Ovis aries: one gene and its partners. The protein of the gene in region 1 interacts with the protein of each later gene in a pairwise test. Links are inferred from orthologs where the notes say so. Each region holds a gene or a part of one and is shown in the gene's direction. Other genes may lie near its edges.

Evidence for each region. The genes of interacting proteins can lie anywhere in the genome.
Region 2: the proteins of CFAP206 (region 1) and C1H1orf94 interact in binary tests that used the Homo sapiens proteins (3 or more experiments, as listed by UniProt). The two-hybrid records come from large-scale screens. The link is inferred for Ovis aries from reciprocal best matches to the Homo sapiens genes CFAP206 and C1orf94.
Region 3: the proteins of CFAP206 (region 1) and SOX30 interact in binary tests that used the Homo sapiens proteins (3 or more experiments, as listed by UniProt). The two-hybrid records come from large-scale screens. The link is inferred for Ovis aries from reciprocal best matches to the Homo sapiens genes CFAP206 and SOX30.

The regions. Positions count from the first base shown.
Region 1 is NC_056061.1:49,877,321-49,883,240, reverse strand, and holds the start of CFAP206 (cilia- and flagella-associated protein 206), read left to right. Parts: upstream 1-2,157; 5' UTR 2,158-2,518; intron 2,519-4,502; exon of another isoform or gene 4,503-4,504; 5' UTR 4,505-4,505; coding exon 4,506-4,613; intron 4,614-5,090; exon of another isoform or gene 5,091-5,119; coding exon of another isoform or gene 5,120-5,143; exon of another isoform or gene 5,144-5,160; coding exon of another isoform or gene 5,161-5,175; intron 5,176-5,269; coding exon 5,270-5,353; intron 5,354-5,920. UniProt on the Homo sapiens protein: Essential for sperm motility and is involved in the regulation of the beating frequency of motile cilia on the epithelial cells of the respiratory tract. Required for the establishment of radial spokes in sperm flagella.
Region 2 is NC_056054.1:9,137,293-9,142,545, forward strand, and holds part of C1H1orf94 (uncharacterized protein C1orf94 homolog), read left to right. Parts: intron 1-1,507; coding exon 1,508-2,196; intron 2,197-5,253.
Region 3 is NC_056058.1:66,884,116-66,889,368, reverse strand, and holds part of SOX30 (transcription factor SOX-30), read left to right. Parts: intron 1-568; coding exon 569-808; intron 809-2,071; coding exon 2,072-2,251; intron 2,252-5,253. UniProt on the Homo sapiens protein: Acts both as a transcriptional activator and a repressor. Binds to the DNA sequence 5'-ACAAT-3' and shows a preference for guanine residues surrounding this core motif. Binds to its own promoter and activates its own transcription.

The DNA.
Region 1 (5,920 bases):
CAGATTTTCATTGTTTAAGTATCATTTTGGGATAGGCAAGAATTTGGAGGGGTCTCTGGCTGGAGAGGGGAGCTCATTTAGTTGGCTGCTGTTGTAGTCCAGGCCAAAAAAAACAAAGAAAAAGTAGTTGCTTTAATTAGTTCAGAAGTGGGAATGGAGAGACTTGAATTGATTCAAGAGACAATAACGAAGACTGGGTTGTTAATTTAAGGATTGAGGAGATGAGTGAGGGAGTGAATGGGTGAAAGACAGGAAGAAACTCACCTTTTAAAAAGCTATCTAGTAACATTATCTGCATATACAAAGTAGGTAAATAGATCTCAGAATTCATCATGGGGGGACTCCCAAGGAATTTCTGATATGCTATTTCTCACTCTCTAGTGTTGAGAATCACTGTCACAGAGGCTATAATGTAAAGGGTTTTATGCTTTAGATCCCGTTTTATTCATTAGGACTATGTATATAAAATTTACCTCGTTTGAGGGGAAAATACACTTAAGAAAGAACCACTAGCCTCCACTCTTTTTTAGAGGTTTGGTTTTGATTGTAACAGAATTTGCTGACTTAATTTTTCTCATTTTGTGTTCTTGTAATTTCATTTCTCTTGTAACACTTGAAAGAACAGGACCCCATGCTTGGGGAGCTGCAGTGTTTCAAGTCACCCCCTAGCCCCACCCCCACCTAGGTTGTGAAAATCTGACCCTAAGCTTTGCTGTTTCCCCGAGGGCTGAGGCATGTGATGGAGAAAAAGATGGGAAACCAATAAGTAATGCTTTTGCTCATCCTTCATCTCACCTTTAAAGGTAATTGATAACCACAAAGAAAGGCCAATTTTTAGGGGTAAGTCTAATGAACTTGGGCTTCCCAGGTGGTGCTAGTGGTAAAGAACCTTCCTGCCATTGCAGGAGATGTAAGAGACATGGGTTTGATCCCTGGGTTGGGAGGATCACCTGGAGAAGGGTATAGCAATCCACTCCAGTATTCTTGCCTGGAGAATCCCATTGACAGAGGAGCCTAACAGGCTACAGTCCATAGGGTCATACAGAGTCAGACACAGCTGAAGCAACTTAGCATGCATGCACACTAATGAACTTAAGAAGCTTGCTGTTTTTGTGTCAGGAAACTCAAATTTTGCTTTTTTTCTGGCTCTTCATATCTGTGCCCATGTAACTAACTCTAAAGAGGAATCTCTCTAAGGAAGATGATTAAGAAATGATCTTGTGAATCTTGACTGAAAGGATGTGGGAAAGCAGACTAAAAATAGTTAATGCTTTTTCTAAGGGAACCTTCAGTAAGAATGACTTGCATTGTCTTCCTTGGGCAATGGTTTCTTTTTCATCATTACTCTGAAAATTCAGCTACCCACTCCATCATCAAGCATTTCTGTGGAGAAGGAAGGTTAAACTGGAAAAGTAAATTGTCAGCTAATTCTTAGACTATGGCTTCCTCCATTTCAAAACTGGTAAACCATACATATTACATAGACTAACATGATGGTTTGTGTTTAAAAAAAAAAAAAGCCAACTGTTGCATAGTGCATGGATAATAATAGAGAACATGAGTGAGATAGGTGAAAAGCACGAGATCTGAATTTTTATTTTAACTTTGAGGATTTCTGGAAACCAGGATGCAGCTCTATTTTAATGATCTATATAGCCCAAAAGCATAACCCAAAGTGGAGAATTCTCCATTATTGTGCCTTTTCTTTTTTTATTATGAGATATATACAGAAAAGGTTAATGTAACATATGCACCATTGAATAGTTATAAAGTGAACATCCATATAAATACTATTCAGATGCATTAGAGATTCTTAATCATGAGTCTACTGATACTTGCAGAGAATTTGCCCATATCTCCTTTTTTCTTTTTTTTTTAACACTGCATAAGTTTCCACGCTGCTAAGTTAATACGGTTGTTTAAGAAATCTAGTTTTTTACATCCTTTAGCTCACTGAGGTGTAGTGAACCTGTCTTCTCTCTGGGCTTTGGGTCTCTCTATATCTCGTCTTTTTTTTTTTTTTTTTTTTAAGTTATCCTCGCCCATCCCTTCCAGTAAAGGCTCTTTTGGACCCAGCCACGCCTCCCCACCTTGGCTCTACCCACGCCCAGGTCCCGCCCCTTTCGGGCCCTAGAGTTTGGTCTCCATGGTTACGCCGAGAGTTCTGGGCTGCCGTGAAAGCCCCAGGGAAGAATTGGGTAGACCCGGCTCAGGCTCTTCACTACAGCCAAGGTCAGCCCAGCCTGGGCTCCACGCCCTTGATCCGGAGTGTACCTCGCGAGGAGGCGAGCATGGGTCAGCGGACGGAGCCTGGGCCGCGGGAGCATGTCGTCTAAACTGGTTCAGGCGAAACTGACAGTAAGGACTCTTCAGGCCCCGCCGCTGAGCGTAAAGAGCTGTCGCTTCCGGTCGGAGGCTCACAGGTCCCCAGGTCAGATCGCTAACGCGTGCTGCTCACCGCTGTTCGGCACTGCTCGCTGCCCCGCCGGCCAGAACTCGGGAGGTTTAGGCTGAAGCGGTGGGTGTGGGGAGGGTCGGGGGGCGGGGACTGAGGAGAACCCGGAGAGACCTGTACCGGGTGCCCGACGGCGCACGCGCACACGCGCGGCTTATATTCATTGAGCAGGCGTTTGTTAGTTACCAGCTGCTGGTTTGATGCTCTTACTTTCTGCCAACGCTATGTTAACCACTAAGTATATAGACTGGGAAAGGAGTACGTCAAGGCTGTATATTGTCACCCTGCTTATTTAACGTATATGCGGAGTACATCTTGCGAAATGCCCGTCTGGATAAAGCACAAGCTGGAATCAGGATTGCTGGGAGAAATATCAATAACCACAGATACACAAATGACACCACCCTAATGGCGGAAAGTGAAGAGGAACTAAAGAGCCTCTTGATGAAAGTGAGAGAGGAGAGTGAAAAAGTTAGTTTAAAACTCAACATTCAGAAAACTAAGATCTTGGCATCTGGTCCCCTCACTTCATGGCAGATAGATGGGGAAACAATGGAAACAGTGACAGGCTTTATATTCTTGGGCTCCAAAATCACTGCAGATGGTGACTGTAGCCATGAAATTAAAAGATGCTTGCTCCTTGGGAGAAAAGCAATGACCAATCTAGACAGCATATTGAAAAGCAGAGACATTACTTTGCCAGCAAAGGTCTGTCTAGTCAAAGCTATGGTTTTTCCAGTAGTCATGTATGGATGTGAGAGTTGGACTATAAAGAAAGCTAAGCGCCGATGAATTGATGCTTTTGAAATGTGGTGTTGGCGAAGGTTCTTGAGAGTTCCTTGGACTGAAAGGAAATCAAACCAGTCAATCCTAAGGGAAATCAACCCTGAATATCCATTGGAAGGACTGATGTTGAAGCTGAAACTCCAATACTTTGGCCACCTGATGAAAAGACCCTGATGCTGGGAAAGATTAAACGCGGGAGGAAAAGGGGAGGACAGAGGATGAGATGGTTGGATGGCATCACCGACTCAATGGGCATGAGTTTGAGTAAACTCCAGGAGTTAGTGATGGACAGGGAGGCCTGGCGTGCTGCAGTCCATGGGGCCGCAAAGAATCGGACACAACTGAGTGACTGAACTGAACTGAATTGATATAGAACTCAGTCCTCAGGACAGCTCCAGAGACAGAGTAGTAGTCGGGTTTATACTTTTCAGATGAGAAAATCACTTCAAAGAGAAGTTAGAGAAATGGCCAAGGTTTCAGCTAGAAAACGGGGCACGATGGAAACCAGGCTCTCTGGTTCTCCTGGACTAGATGCCAGGTGTTGTTAACCTTACCTGAACCCTAATATGCTGAAAGTGATCTTTACCTACCTGGGATTGCCTTTGTTATTCTCTGCATGCTAATTTCCCCTGTGCTTAGATCGGAAAACCTGATCACTATTAAAACCTACCACCTTTTCACCAGGAGTTCTTTTTTTTCCCCCATGATCCATGACTCGTTATATGTTTTGCTTTTTTTTTTGCTTTTATGCTTTTAATCAAGAGTATAAACCTTCACTTGGATGTGCAAGAAATAGAATTTTGATGATTCGAGCAAGAATTGTGTTCCAAGAGTCTCTGATAATTATGAAAGGTCATTTAGTGAATGTGATGAAATAAGCATGTTCTGTTTCAAGCTGACTTTGCCACCTACATAGTGGAATTTCTCACTAATTCTACTCCTACACCCATCCTCCATCTCTAATACTGTTTAACATTTTTTTAAATTAAAAAATATCATGTTATAGGGGTACTTTTGATGACCACCATCATTTAAATAAAGAGGAAATGTTTCAGTCATTAAGTCCCAATTACTCTCACTGTTATCATTAGTCCTTCATTTTTATAAATATGAAACCAACTAATGAAAAACAAGAGGGGCCTTATATACTAGTAAATATTATTAAGTTAATAAATAATATGACTCTTTACAAATATATTAGTGGTGAAATCTCAAAAGGAAAAACTAATATATAAATACAATTTAAAAAATCTTTTTATTTAGAATGCCTCCCACTCAGGCTGAAAGTGTTATAAAGAATATCATTAGAGAAATAGGACAAGAATGTGCAGCCCATGGAGAGATTGTTCCTGAAACTCTGGTTGCTTTTATGGTAAGAATAAATATTTTTGTGAATTACTGCTTTATTAAAAATTTTTTTTCAGCAGTGCCTATCTTGCTCTTAGAATTCTGTGATGTTCTCTTAACTTGTTGCATTGAAAACCTATGGCGATTGGTAGACAAATTGTGTCTGTGTGTGCTCAGTCGTGTCCAGCTCTTTGCAACTGCATGGACTGTAGCCTGCGAAGCTCCTCTGTCCATGGGATTTTTCCAGGCAAAAATACTGTTTGTTTGTTTTTTAAGTCTATAAAGCATGTTAGTTCTAGATTTAAGAGACTGATCTAGAAGATCTCAAAGAATCTTAGAAACATCAATAATGTTTTTCCTGTGTTGTAAGTTTTTTTCTTTTTAACATGTGTTGTTCACTGCTGTAAAAATTACTCATTTCCTTGATATCTCTCTGTTCTTGCTTTTGGTATAATAATACACAATAAAAATATGGTAAAAATATTCAAATTCGTTTCCCAAGGTAAAATTGCTCCCTTTCTCCAGTTTCTGATGAAGATGCTGAGGAACTGGGTGGTAAGAAACTCAGCTGAATGATCCACCCCTGGGTAATCAAGACAGAGTTATTTAAAAAATGGAAAAATATTAAACTAATGTTGTAGTAATATGAAATAAATGTAATGGACTTTTTCCTACTCTCAGGTGAAAGCTGTTGTTCTGGACCCGAGTAATGGCTTTAACACGGATAGGACACTCACAAAAAGTGATGTGCAGAAACTGGTGAAGGTGATTATCTAACATTTCTCAAATTTTGAATGATTTACTCACAATTCTAAATATTTGATTTGTCTTGCTCAATAGTGCCTTCAGCTCCATGAAACAAAACCCCACCAAACAGTGATGCAAACAAATGAGAGATTAAATTTTTTCTCGTAGAATGAAGTCTAGAGGTTCATAGGTTGTTTTTCCTGGCTTCCTAGGTCACTATCATGCATGTATTTTCACCCCAGGGTCACAAGAAAGCTCTTCTACCTTTGGGCAGGTATAAGGTGAGAGGACAAAGGTCAACATGTGTGTGCAATTGGATCTGTCACTTTGTTTTTTGGAAATAATGGGCTTTCCCAGAATCCCTCCCATCTCTTTCCATTTGTGGCCTGCCTGCATGCTCAGTCGTGTCTGACTCTTTGCCAGCCCATGCACTGTGGCCTACCAGGCTCCTCTGTCTGTGGAATTTTCCAGGCAAGAATACTGGAGTGGGCTGTCATTTCCTTCTCTAGGGGACCTTCCCAACCCAGGGACTGAACCGTATCTCCTGTGTCTCCTGCATTGGCAGGTGGATTCTTTATCACTGTG
Region 2 (5,253 bases), on another chromosome or scaffold:
TGCAGATTTCCGGATCCAGAGGCCCAGCCCAGCTGACAGAGGTGTATATAGACTGGTTGTCCCTTTAACTGCCTTTACTGTGCGAGACATGGTCTGAAGTGTTTCTGTGATACTCCGCTTCACCAGGAAGGAAGACAGCGGTACCATGATGCTGAGCAAGGGACCCAGGATCACATAGCTGGGAAGTGACTGATCCAGACTGTGAGCTCCAGCTGCCACCTTGCTGTCCCTGCTCTGACTCAGACCATCCTGCAGTGCCTGGGGCCCCGGCATTCTGGACACCACATCCAGAGCTGTTGACTCAGTCCTGTCCCCTTTGCTGCTGGTCCTTTAGTGCTTTGGGTCCTGAGCACCACCAAACAGGGAGCGATGGACAGAAATCAAGACTCGGCCCACTCGGCAAGATGGAGCACTGGGAGAGGACCCAGGGGTCCCGATTCCCAGAACCAAGCTCTTAGGACTATTGCCTGTTCAGTTCAGTTTAGTTCAGTTGCTCAGTCATGTCCAACTCTTTGCGACCCCATGAATCGCAGCACGCCAGGCCTCCCTGTCCACCACCAACTCCTGGAGTTCACTCAAACTCACATCCATCAAGTCGGTGATGCCATCCAGCCATCTCATCCTCGGTCGTCCCCTTTTCTACCTGCCCCCAATCCCTCCCAGCATCAGGGTCTTTTCCAGTGAGTCAGCTCTTCGCATGAGATGGCCAAAGTACTGGAGTTTCAGCTTTAGCATCATTCCTTCCAAAGAACACCCAGGACTGATCTCCTTCAGAATGGACTGGCTGGATCTCCTTGCAGTCCAAGGGACTCTCAAGAGACTTCTCCAACACCACAGTTCAAAAGCATCAATTCTTCGGTGCTCAGCTTTCTTCACAGTCCAACTCTCACATCCATACATGACCAATGGAAAACCATAGCCTTGACTTAGACGTAACTTGGTTGACAAAGTAATGTCTCTGCTTTTTAATATACTGTCTAAGCTGGTCATAACTTTTCTTCCAAGGAGTAAGCGTCTTTTAATTTCATGGCTGCAGTCACCATCTGCAGTGATTCTGGAGCCCAAAAAAATAAAGTCTGACACTGTTTCCACTGTTTCCCCATCTATTTGCCATGAAGTGATGGGACCAGATACCATGATCTTAGTTTTCTGAATGTTGAGCTTTAAGCCAACTTTTTCACTCTCCTCTTTCACTTTCATCAAGAGACTTTTTAGTTCCTCTTCACTTTCTGCCATAAGGGTGGTGTCATCTGCATATCTGAGGTTCTTGATATTTCTCCTGGCAATCTTGATTCCGGTTTGTGCTTCATCCAGCCCATTGCCTGTTGGTATAGTATAAAAACCCTGTGGGTCCACATATGGCCCAGTTTCTCTCGTGGAGAGCAATAGGCTTCTCACCTTGGCAAACGTGTTTTCTCTAGCCCCTTTTCCTGGGGTCTGTGCCCCTCTGCAGAGCCACTCTCAGGGAGCGGCCCTAAAGCCATCTCTCTTTCTAACCTGTTTGCAGGGCTCTGGAGCTCACCAGTGGCAAAGACGAGATCTCCTTGTTGGTGGAGCAGGAGTTCTTGAGCCTCACCAAAGAGCACCTCATCCTGGTCACCAAGAGCTCGGGGGAGCTGGAGGCACCCAGAAGCAATGCTGAGGGGCCCAGACAGCCAGCCCCCTGCCTTCTCATGCCTTCACTGGTGTCCAGCAGCAGTGAGCACCCAGGAGCCTCCGTCATGGCTGGTGACAAGCTCCTGGAGCCAAAGGTGGCCGTGTCAGTCGTTGGCAGCCGGCCAGACTGTGATTCTGCCACGTCTACGGTCACGGGCATCCTGCGTGCTGCCAAGGTCAAGAGTGCCAAGGGGACAGAGGACAGGAGCCGCAGCCTGGGGGCCTCCAGCTCGGAGATCAGCAAGCTCCTGGCTCAATTCCCACTGAAGTCCACAGAAATGTCCAAGGCCCCCGACAGCAAGATGGTGTTGGAGGAGACCAGGGTCATCAAGGACTTCCTGCAGAGCAGCATGTTCAGTGGCCCTGGACCCAGAGAGCCCGCGGGGCTGGGCCCGTTCCTTCTGCTGCCTCCCCCGCCTCCGCCTGTGACTCCCAACAAACTCCCCGAGCTCCCTGCTCAGAAGAAGCAGCTTCCAGTGTTCGCCAAGATCTGCTCCAAGCCCGAGGCTGACCCCATCATGGAGGGGTACCAACTGATGGGTGAGTGGGGCTGGGAGCAGGGCTAGGAGGCATGCTTGCTAGGAGGAGAAACTTAGCACGTGGGCTGCATCAGGCACACGGAGCATCGCTGTGCAAAGTAGGGCAAGGTAGCCTTGCTGATGAGCATGGTCCCGGGGTGCAGGCTGTTTTCAGCCCCCACAGCCCTCCTCTGCCAGATGCTCATATACAGGGCACGTCTCATGTAACCAGACATGGTGGCCCTGAATCCAATACACTTTGGGAAGAGGGAGAGGCCTGTTTTGTAACCGACTGGGTTTTTAAATCCATAGGCACCTGAGGACATTGAACGAAGCATTTACCCTTGCTGGATCCAGGGTGAAAGTGCAGCCAGGGGACTCTGAGCTGAATAGGAGGGAATTTAACTGGCTTCTGATGGAGGCTCCTGTCCTGACCATGATGCCTGGTCCCCTCTCCTGGGGATAGGGGGTGAATGTGTAAACTCTCCGGGTGCAGGCAGACTGCTGGCCCTGGGGTTTGTTCCCAGGGACTCCAGGGCTTTGGCAAAGTGCATTCCCACTCCTAAATCGAGGAGTCCGCACCCTCCCCGGATTGCCTCCCCAAATTCCAGGATTCTGCATTTTGTGTCTGTTCTGATCCAGCTACTCAGGCTGGATGGTTCCAAGAAGGAAGATTGGCGGCAGTGACACTTGCTTGCCATCAGCAGTCACTGGGAGGAAGCTGGAAGAAAAACTCCCCCCAGGCTGTGAGAGATGGGTAAAGGAGAGATGCCTGTATTGGGAGGGCCCAGATCCATCTTCCTAAGAAAACAGGGACACAGTCACCCTAGAGAACATTCTGTAGGAGCATTTTAAGAACCCAAGGACTCCAAACTGTGGATGGCATGCTGGACTCTGGGTCCTGGGCAGGCCTCCAGGGGTCCAGGGGCTCTGGGGACGATAAGCTGTGTATGTGAGATGATGGGGCATACCCGGGGGAGGAGACATGCCTCCCACCTCCTTCTCTCCTCTGTCAGACAGGGCTGCTGGTTTGGAGACAGTTCTGTCCCACACACCTTCCCACCATTTGCATGTGTGTGTACAGGTGTGTGCGTGAAGGTGTGCTGAGAGGAACTTTGCAGATGGAAATGCAGTCTGGGCACATCTGAGTGTAACCCTTCTGTGTGTGTAGCTGTGTATGTGTGTGAGCACGCGAAAGGAATGGCAGGAAGGGATGTGTGTGTGTGTGTGTGTGTCTGTGTATATAGCCTTTGGAAGAGGGAGCTTTGGAGATGAGTGAGTGGCAAGTGTGTTTCAGGTGGCTGGGGTGGGCTGTGATGGCAGGTGTGTGGGCCTCTGGGGAGAGGGCTATTATTAGTGGGTACTGTTATCTCAGCACTGGCTGGGGGCCACACTCTGCAACGAGACAAGCTCTAGGAAAAGACACCAGGGACATGTTTTGCTAAAAACTGTCATTTTCTTCTGGCTCAGGCTAGAGCAGCTTTCTCCTTTGCTGGGATGGCAGTAAGCGGGCAGGCCCCATCCTGTCCAGACTCAGCCCCAAGGCCATGGGCTAGTGGGACTAAGAGTTGGTGGGATCGTGTCCACTCCCAACAGGTGATTATGGGCACAAGCCCTCTGATCCTATTGCTACCAGCATGATCCACTGTGCCCGCCATGTGTCCAGTGCCATTTCACAGCCAAGCTCCATGGAGACCAGGACCTCCAAGCTGGGAGAAGCATGAAGGTGCTGAGAGCAAGGCCCTCTTCTCTGCTTCAGCCAAGCAGTGCCTTAAAAAAAAAAAAAAAAATATATATATATATATATATATATATATGTATATATATATATGTATATATATTATACGCTTCTCTGGTGGCTCAGCAGTAAAGAATTGGCCCGCAATACAGGAGACCCAGATTATTTGGGTTCAGTCCCTGGATCAGGAAGATCCCCTGAAGGAGGGCATGGCAACCCACTCCAGTATTCTTGCTGGGAAAATCCTATGGACAGAGGAGCCTGGCAGGCTACAGTCCATAGGGTCACAAAGAGTCGGACGTAACTGAGCATACACGAACCATGTATTTACGCTTGCAGTATGGTGCATCCCCCTGCCATACTTTGTTGGAAGAAAGAGTTTTGTTGGAAGAAAGAGTTCCATCGCTCAAAAGGAAAATCGGGTGAAAAGCCACTGTTGTAGGGGGATCCTTGGTGGTCTAGGCAGTGTCCTTGCACAAGGGAGACTTGGTCTGTTTGGAGAGAGAGAGCTGAGCCTGGCACCGGCAGCAGCCAGTGGCTCACTCGTGCCTCTGTGCCTTTGCCTGCGGTCACCCATGGCTCTGGGTGCAGGGCCTCGCTGCAGACCTCCTCCTCCTGGAATCCCTCCGGTCCTCAGACAGAAGCTGTCTCAGCCGCCCTCTTCCCCCGCTGTGTCCCTCCATCACCTCACGGTCCCCATCTGCCTTGTCCCGGAGCTATTTCTGGGTCTGTCTCTCTCTTCCTCCGTGTTGTGAGTTCCTGCTGGGCCAAGTCTGGCTCTGACTCATCCAAGTGTCCCCAGGACTCAGGTCAGAGCCTGGCGCTGATGAGTGTGCTGAATCGCCACGACGACTTAGCAAGAGGAGAGTCTCTGACAAGGGACCAGCTGCGTGTTGTGTGGGAATGTGTCTGCGCCAACCACCCCCCCCCCCCACCGCCACTAAGCCAAGTGTGCTCCCTGAAGACAGGAACTATCCGGAACCTTTGTGATCCAACCTACAAATGGTTAGAGGGAAGGAAGGGAGGCAAAAAGAGGGAGAAAGGAAGAAGCGGCAGGGAGGAAAAGAGGAAGGAAGAAAAGAAAGAAAAGAAGGTAAGGAAAGAGAGGGAACTAAAAGGGAGGAAGTTTTTTAAGGAGGAGAGAATGGGATTAGGGAAGGGAGGATGGATGAGTGGATGGAAGGAAGGAAAGATGGATGGGTGGGTAAAAGGATGGATGGATGGGTGGACAGACGGAAGAAGACAAGAATGGATGAATGCATTCATGCATGCAAGGGTGTGAGACCGTCATGGGCGCTGGTCAGGGAAGGCTTCAGGGACTGGACTTGGACTGAACTTGGT
Region 3 (5,253 bases), on another chromosome or scaffold:
AGTCACCTTTATTATTTTCCTCTTTTTTCCCAGGACATGGGACTAGTGTTAATGACCCACCTTGGCAGGTGCTTCACTTTAATAATGAAATATAACTAACACTGTAATATAAGTATTTTTGCTTGAATGGGCACTCCAGCGGCATGTAAGTGAATTCCTTTAAATTTTTAGGGTACACCCACCTAGTGCTAGGATTATAGTCATGAATAAGTTATAGTTCTTGTTCCCCATTAATAGAATATTTTTAATGGGAAATAAGCCAAATGTTAATTGTTGTTAGAAGCATTAATATAACTCAAGGAAGTAATAAGCCAGCATTTTACAGTGTCTTCAATAATAATATTCTTTCTGAGGAAAAGAACAATCATTCTAAACCACAGTTTAGAATGCTGAGTTCAAGGGTTATGAGGAATTATGGAATACTGGCAGTTCTTTGACTATACTGAAGTGAATATTTTCTCCATATGTTTAAAAAGTAAATATAGTTGGAGGTGCACTTCACTTTAAAATTGTGTGTGTGTGTGTGTGTGTGGCACATTAATTTAGTCTTTTAATTTTTGTCATGTAGGAATACCAGATACTCCCTTCAGTAAGGACAGAAATGGTCATGTGAAGCGACCCATGAATGCATTTATGGTTTGGGCAAGAATCCACCGGCCAGCACTAGCCAAAGCTAACCCAGCAGCCAACAATGCAGAAATCAGTGTCCAGCTCGGGTTAGAGTGGAACAAACTTAGTGAAGAACAAAAGAAACCCTATTATGATGAAGCACAAAAGATTAAAGAAAAGCACAGAGAGGAATTTCCTGGTAATCAAATGAAATGAACAAAGCCTCTTTCTAATTTCTTTTAAATTTATTTATTTAGGTAAAGAATAGGTTAGGATGAGATTGAAAGACAAAGTGTAATTTTTTTCTGGTCTGATATGTACAATAGAGAAAATTATGGTTAATACTATAGTAACGATTGAATTGACACTGGACGTAAGTTTTCTTAAACAGAGCAAAGTAGAACGATATCTGGTCTCATATTTGCCAACCAATGCAAACCTGATCTGGTCTTATATTTGCCTACTAATGCAAACCTGGGGATATACAGTTTTACAGTGGTTTTGATTTAATATAAAAATATAAATTTAATGAAGGTGAAGCTCCAGAGTTCTATGCTATGATATTTCAAATATATTAGAAAATGAAGTGTTCAGCTCATAGCAACAGAAAAATATGCAGTGCACACTGCAGGCATTAGCACCAAGCTCCATTTTAATGTTATATGGTTATCAGAATTTAGTCCTGCCTCCTGCCTGATAAGTTTATCCTCATCATGATATAGTTTGAAATAAATTCTGACTTTCTCCCCAGCAGTGAGGACATTGTTATTAAGCTTGGTAAAAGCTTAATATATGTTGATATGACCAACACATTGTGCATGGAAAGAATTTTTTTCCTAAAGTAATAGAGAGATTCAGGCTGGCAATGGTCAGAGTAGTGGTTACAGGGAACCAGTGATTCTCTTGGTTGTACAGTGGCAACAACTGCCATAACTCCATTTTTCTGAGTTTAGAAGGAAATTGGGTGGTTTGTGGATGTGGAGACTGCCAAGTCTAAAAGGGCGACTTTTCCCAAAGAAGACATAAAAATAGTGACTGGTCATTAATAACCACTTCATTGTAAGACATAGATAATTGTATCTTACAGAAATTAAAAAAAAAAACGGGAGGAGACAAATAGCATCTTACTGGGGCATTTTTTTTTAATAGGTAGAGGAAAAACTTTGGAATTCAGACTCAGTGCCTTTAATGTTGATTTTACTGTAAATTCATCATGTGTCTTTGGAGAAAAGACATTTGCTCTTGGTCTTCCTTTGAATTATTAGTTACAACATTGACCACTAGCTAGGAGCCATATGGATAGATATGCTGAAATGCTCAAAAATAGTATCATAGAAGTGGAAAAGATACTTCAGACAACTAAGACTTAGAAGTATTTTGGACTTTTAATGTGAAAAGAACTATTTAAAGGCTAAATAGGATTTGTAGGTTCAAATTAAAAATGGTTAATCTTCTTCTCTAGGTTGGGTTTATCAACCTCGTCCAGGGAAGCGAAAACGCTTCCCTCTAAGCGTTTCCAATGTATTTTCTGGTACCACACAGAATATCATCTCTACAAATCCAACAACAATTTATCCTTATCGCTCACCTACCTACTCTGTGGTAATTCCCAGCCTACAGAACACCATCACTCATCCAGTTGGTGAGTTGGTTTTATTGTAGATTATAATTTTATAATGGCTTATGTGGTGATTTTGCCTCTCAACTTGAAATTTTGCTTCTGATAGCTTAAGAGTTTAAACGACAATATTAAGAAAAAAATCAAAAGTGAGAAAGTGAAAACATTAAATCAGAGAAGGAAAATTTTCAGTAGACATCAAAGTCCTTGGTTTGCCAGACTAGTAAATATTCCATGTCAGACCTTTTAAACAAATCAGGGTGAGTCCATAGATTATGCAGATAATGCATGAAATGACTTGAGGTAATTCAGTAGGAAATAGGAATGTGTTTTTAGTGTTAGCATGCCTTGCTGATGAGGTATGAGGCATCCTGTCCTGGAATTTAATAATGGTGACTGACCTGTTAAGACCCTTTTTTTTTTTTTTTTTTTGCTGCTCCAGGAAAGCAATGGAAGTAATCTATCTTCTACCAGATATTTGGTTCATTATATTGTCTTTCCCTAAAATTTCTCCTCTATTATCAGTTCTTTACTTCATTCCTATCTTTTGCTTTTAAGAACCCCAAATTGAGAATTTAATATCTTAAGAACTTTTATAGGGCTATCCATCATTAGTTTGTTCTTCCAGAGCCTATTTTAGTCATCTCTGAGGCATAGCTTTGTACATTCCCTGCTTACTATCACTTGTCCTAAAACTGCTGTTCTCTCCAGTTTTAAAATTGACTTATTGCGAACTTAGGCATTTTCATTTTTTCCCCCTGTGTATTATTATAGTCATAAATACCAACAAGGCCACATCAAGGGTATCCAGACTCAAGGCAAAGAAAGCTGATCCTATCACCCTGTTCCTCTCTCAGTACCTTTGCTATTTTGTAGTATCTCTTTTAATTCTATACTCAAACTGGGTTTAATTATGCTTTTTTTTAAAAAAAAACTTACCTTGTGTAATCTGTTATTTATGATTTATGCTTTTATCATCTATATTTCTTCTTTTTACACCTTTTTCTAAAGCTTTTCTTCCATGTCATTCTATCTACAGTTAAATAAATGCTGTATGTTTTCTTTTTTCAGAAATATATTTATCAGTGTTCTTGCTTGAGGCAGCTGACATTTTAATAGAATATATTAACTTTATGCAGTTCTGAGCAAAGGTTTGGGGAAATTGAAAGTGGTAGAGCTCTTACATTCATGATGTTTTATATAAGTATGAAAAACAATTATAGGAAGTTTTTTAGAACCATATATAAAGTAATCAAATCTAGGTATTTTTTGTTGGCTTTTTTATTTTTAAATTTCTCTTATTTCTTCTTAGGTAGTATCAGTAAAGATTTGTTTCTGGGACCTCAAATTATAAAAAGATCATTATCTTTTAAATATGAAATTTTGGAATTGTTTCCCCAGGTATATATATAGTTATATGTATAATAGTTACATATATATAATTGTTATACAATAGTTATGATGAGACTTATTGTCTGTTCTGCTGCCCAATCATACAGCTTTTGAAATATGTTCTTTTAGTTGTACTCATCAGCTTGGTGTATAGTACTTTGAGGAGTTGGTATCAGTTGCAAGTTTGGAAATGTCACTGTATATTTTACATTGTAAATCATTTATAAAACTCTTAAATAAGAAAAAATTATAGTACAAATCCCTCAGAAAATCTGCTTTTAAAGTCTACCTTTAAATGCTCATTATCAACAGATACAAATGTTTATACCATTCCTTTTTTTTTGTTTGATCAACTAATTTTATATTCTAAATATGAAATCATGGTAATTGTGTTCTTTCAAACTTGTTTATTTCCATGGAAGAAAGATACCAAATTAGTGAGGTATAATTTATCTCAACAGAAACAATTTGTTCTTTTTCTAGAAAGGTTTGTATACAAATATATTGTATAGATTTCACTAGTGTAGAAAATCGACTCACCAAACTATGGCTCTAAAGTAAACTTACTACTTCCAAAAACAAGTTCACTACTTCTGATAACCTGGTATTATGTTGACTTTCCAAAAATGCTCTTGATTGACATTTTTGGCAGAGAGACCATTTGTATCTACTTCATCCAATATTTTCTCAGTTCTAACTTTTGAGTTTCTTTAAAGCTCTTAGGTTAATGCCACCTGAGATCTCTTATATTCATTTTATCAATTTGGATTAGAACATTCTGTGAACTTGCCATTATACTGCATTTGATGTAATATTTTTAAACTATCTGCTGTGAAAATGAAGTAGGTTCAGATATCTTCTTAAGGTCGTAGTAGGAAGTGGGTTTTGAGTCTCTCCATTCTTTCAGTTGACTTTTACACTGTAATGATTATCCCATTGATTCCATTGAGTCTCTTCTTTCTGTAAAAGTATTTAAAAAGGCACTTACTGTTGATTTTAAGGTCCTACAGATGTAATTTCTTCAATTTTCTTTTAAACTGTCTAATTTTTACTTGCATCACACTTACACACTCTGGCTTCTCTTTTACAGATTTGGATGAGCTCTTCATTTTAAAGACATCTTTCCTTTTTGTGGGTACTCTTTAATTTGGTCAAGCTTCCCTGGTGGCTCAGATGGTAAAGAGTCTGCCTGCAGTATGAGAGACCTGGATTCAAACCCTGGGTCAGAAAGATCCCCTGGAGAAGGAAATGGCAAACCACTCCAGTATTCTTGCCTGGAAAATCCCATGGACGAGGAGCCTGGCAGGCTACCACCCATGGGGCCACAAAGAGTCAGACGCGACTGAACGACTTCACTTTTACTTTGAGTTGGTCAGTTAGCCACAACAACTTTTTGATTTTTAAGGCACATTGTTTTCCTTTTGGGTTTTTAGCATTATCATATAAAATAACCTTCATTCTTCTGTAAACTTTTTATTTTAGTTATCCCTATCAGCCTTATTTTCCTAGCCCGTATTTGTAATTCCAAAAATCTAATTTTTCTCTCACGTTTAATCCCCCATATTGAGCTTATCTCCTGTTTCCAGTTTCTGAAAGTACTTACAACTTAATAGTCCAGAATAGTTTTTTGGACA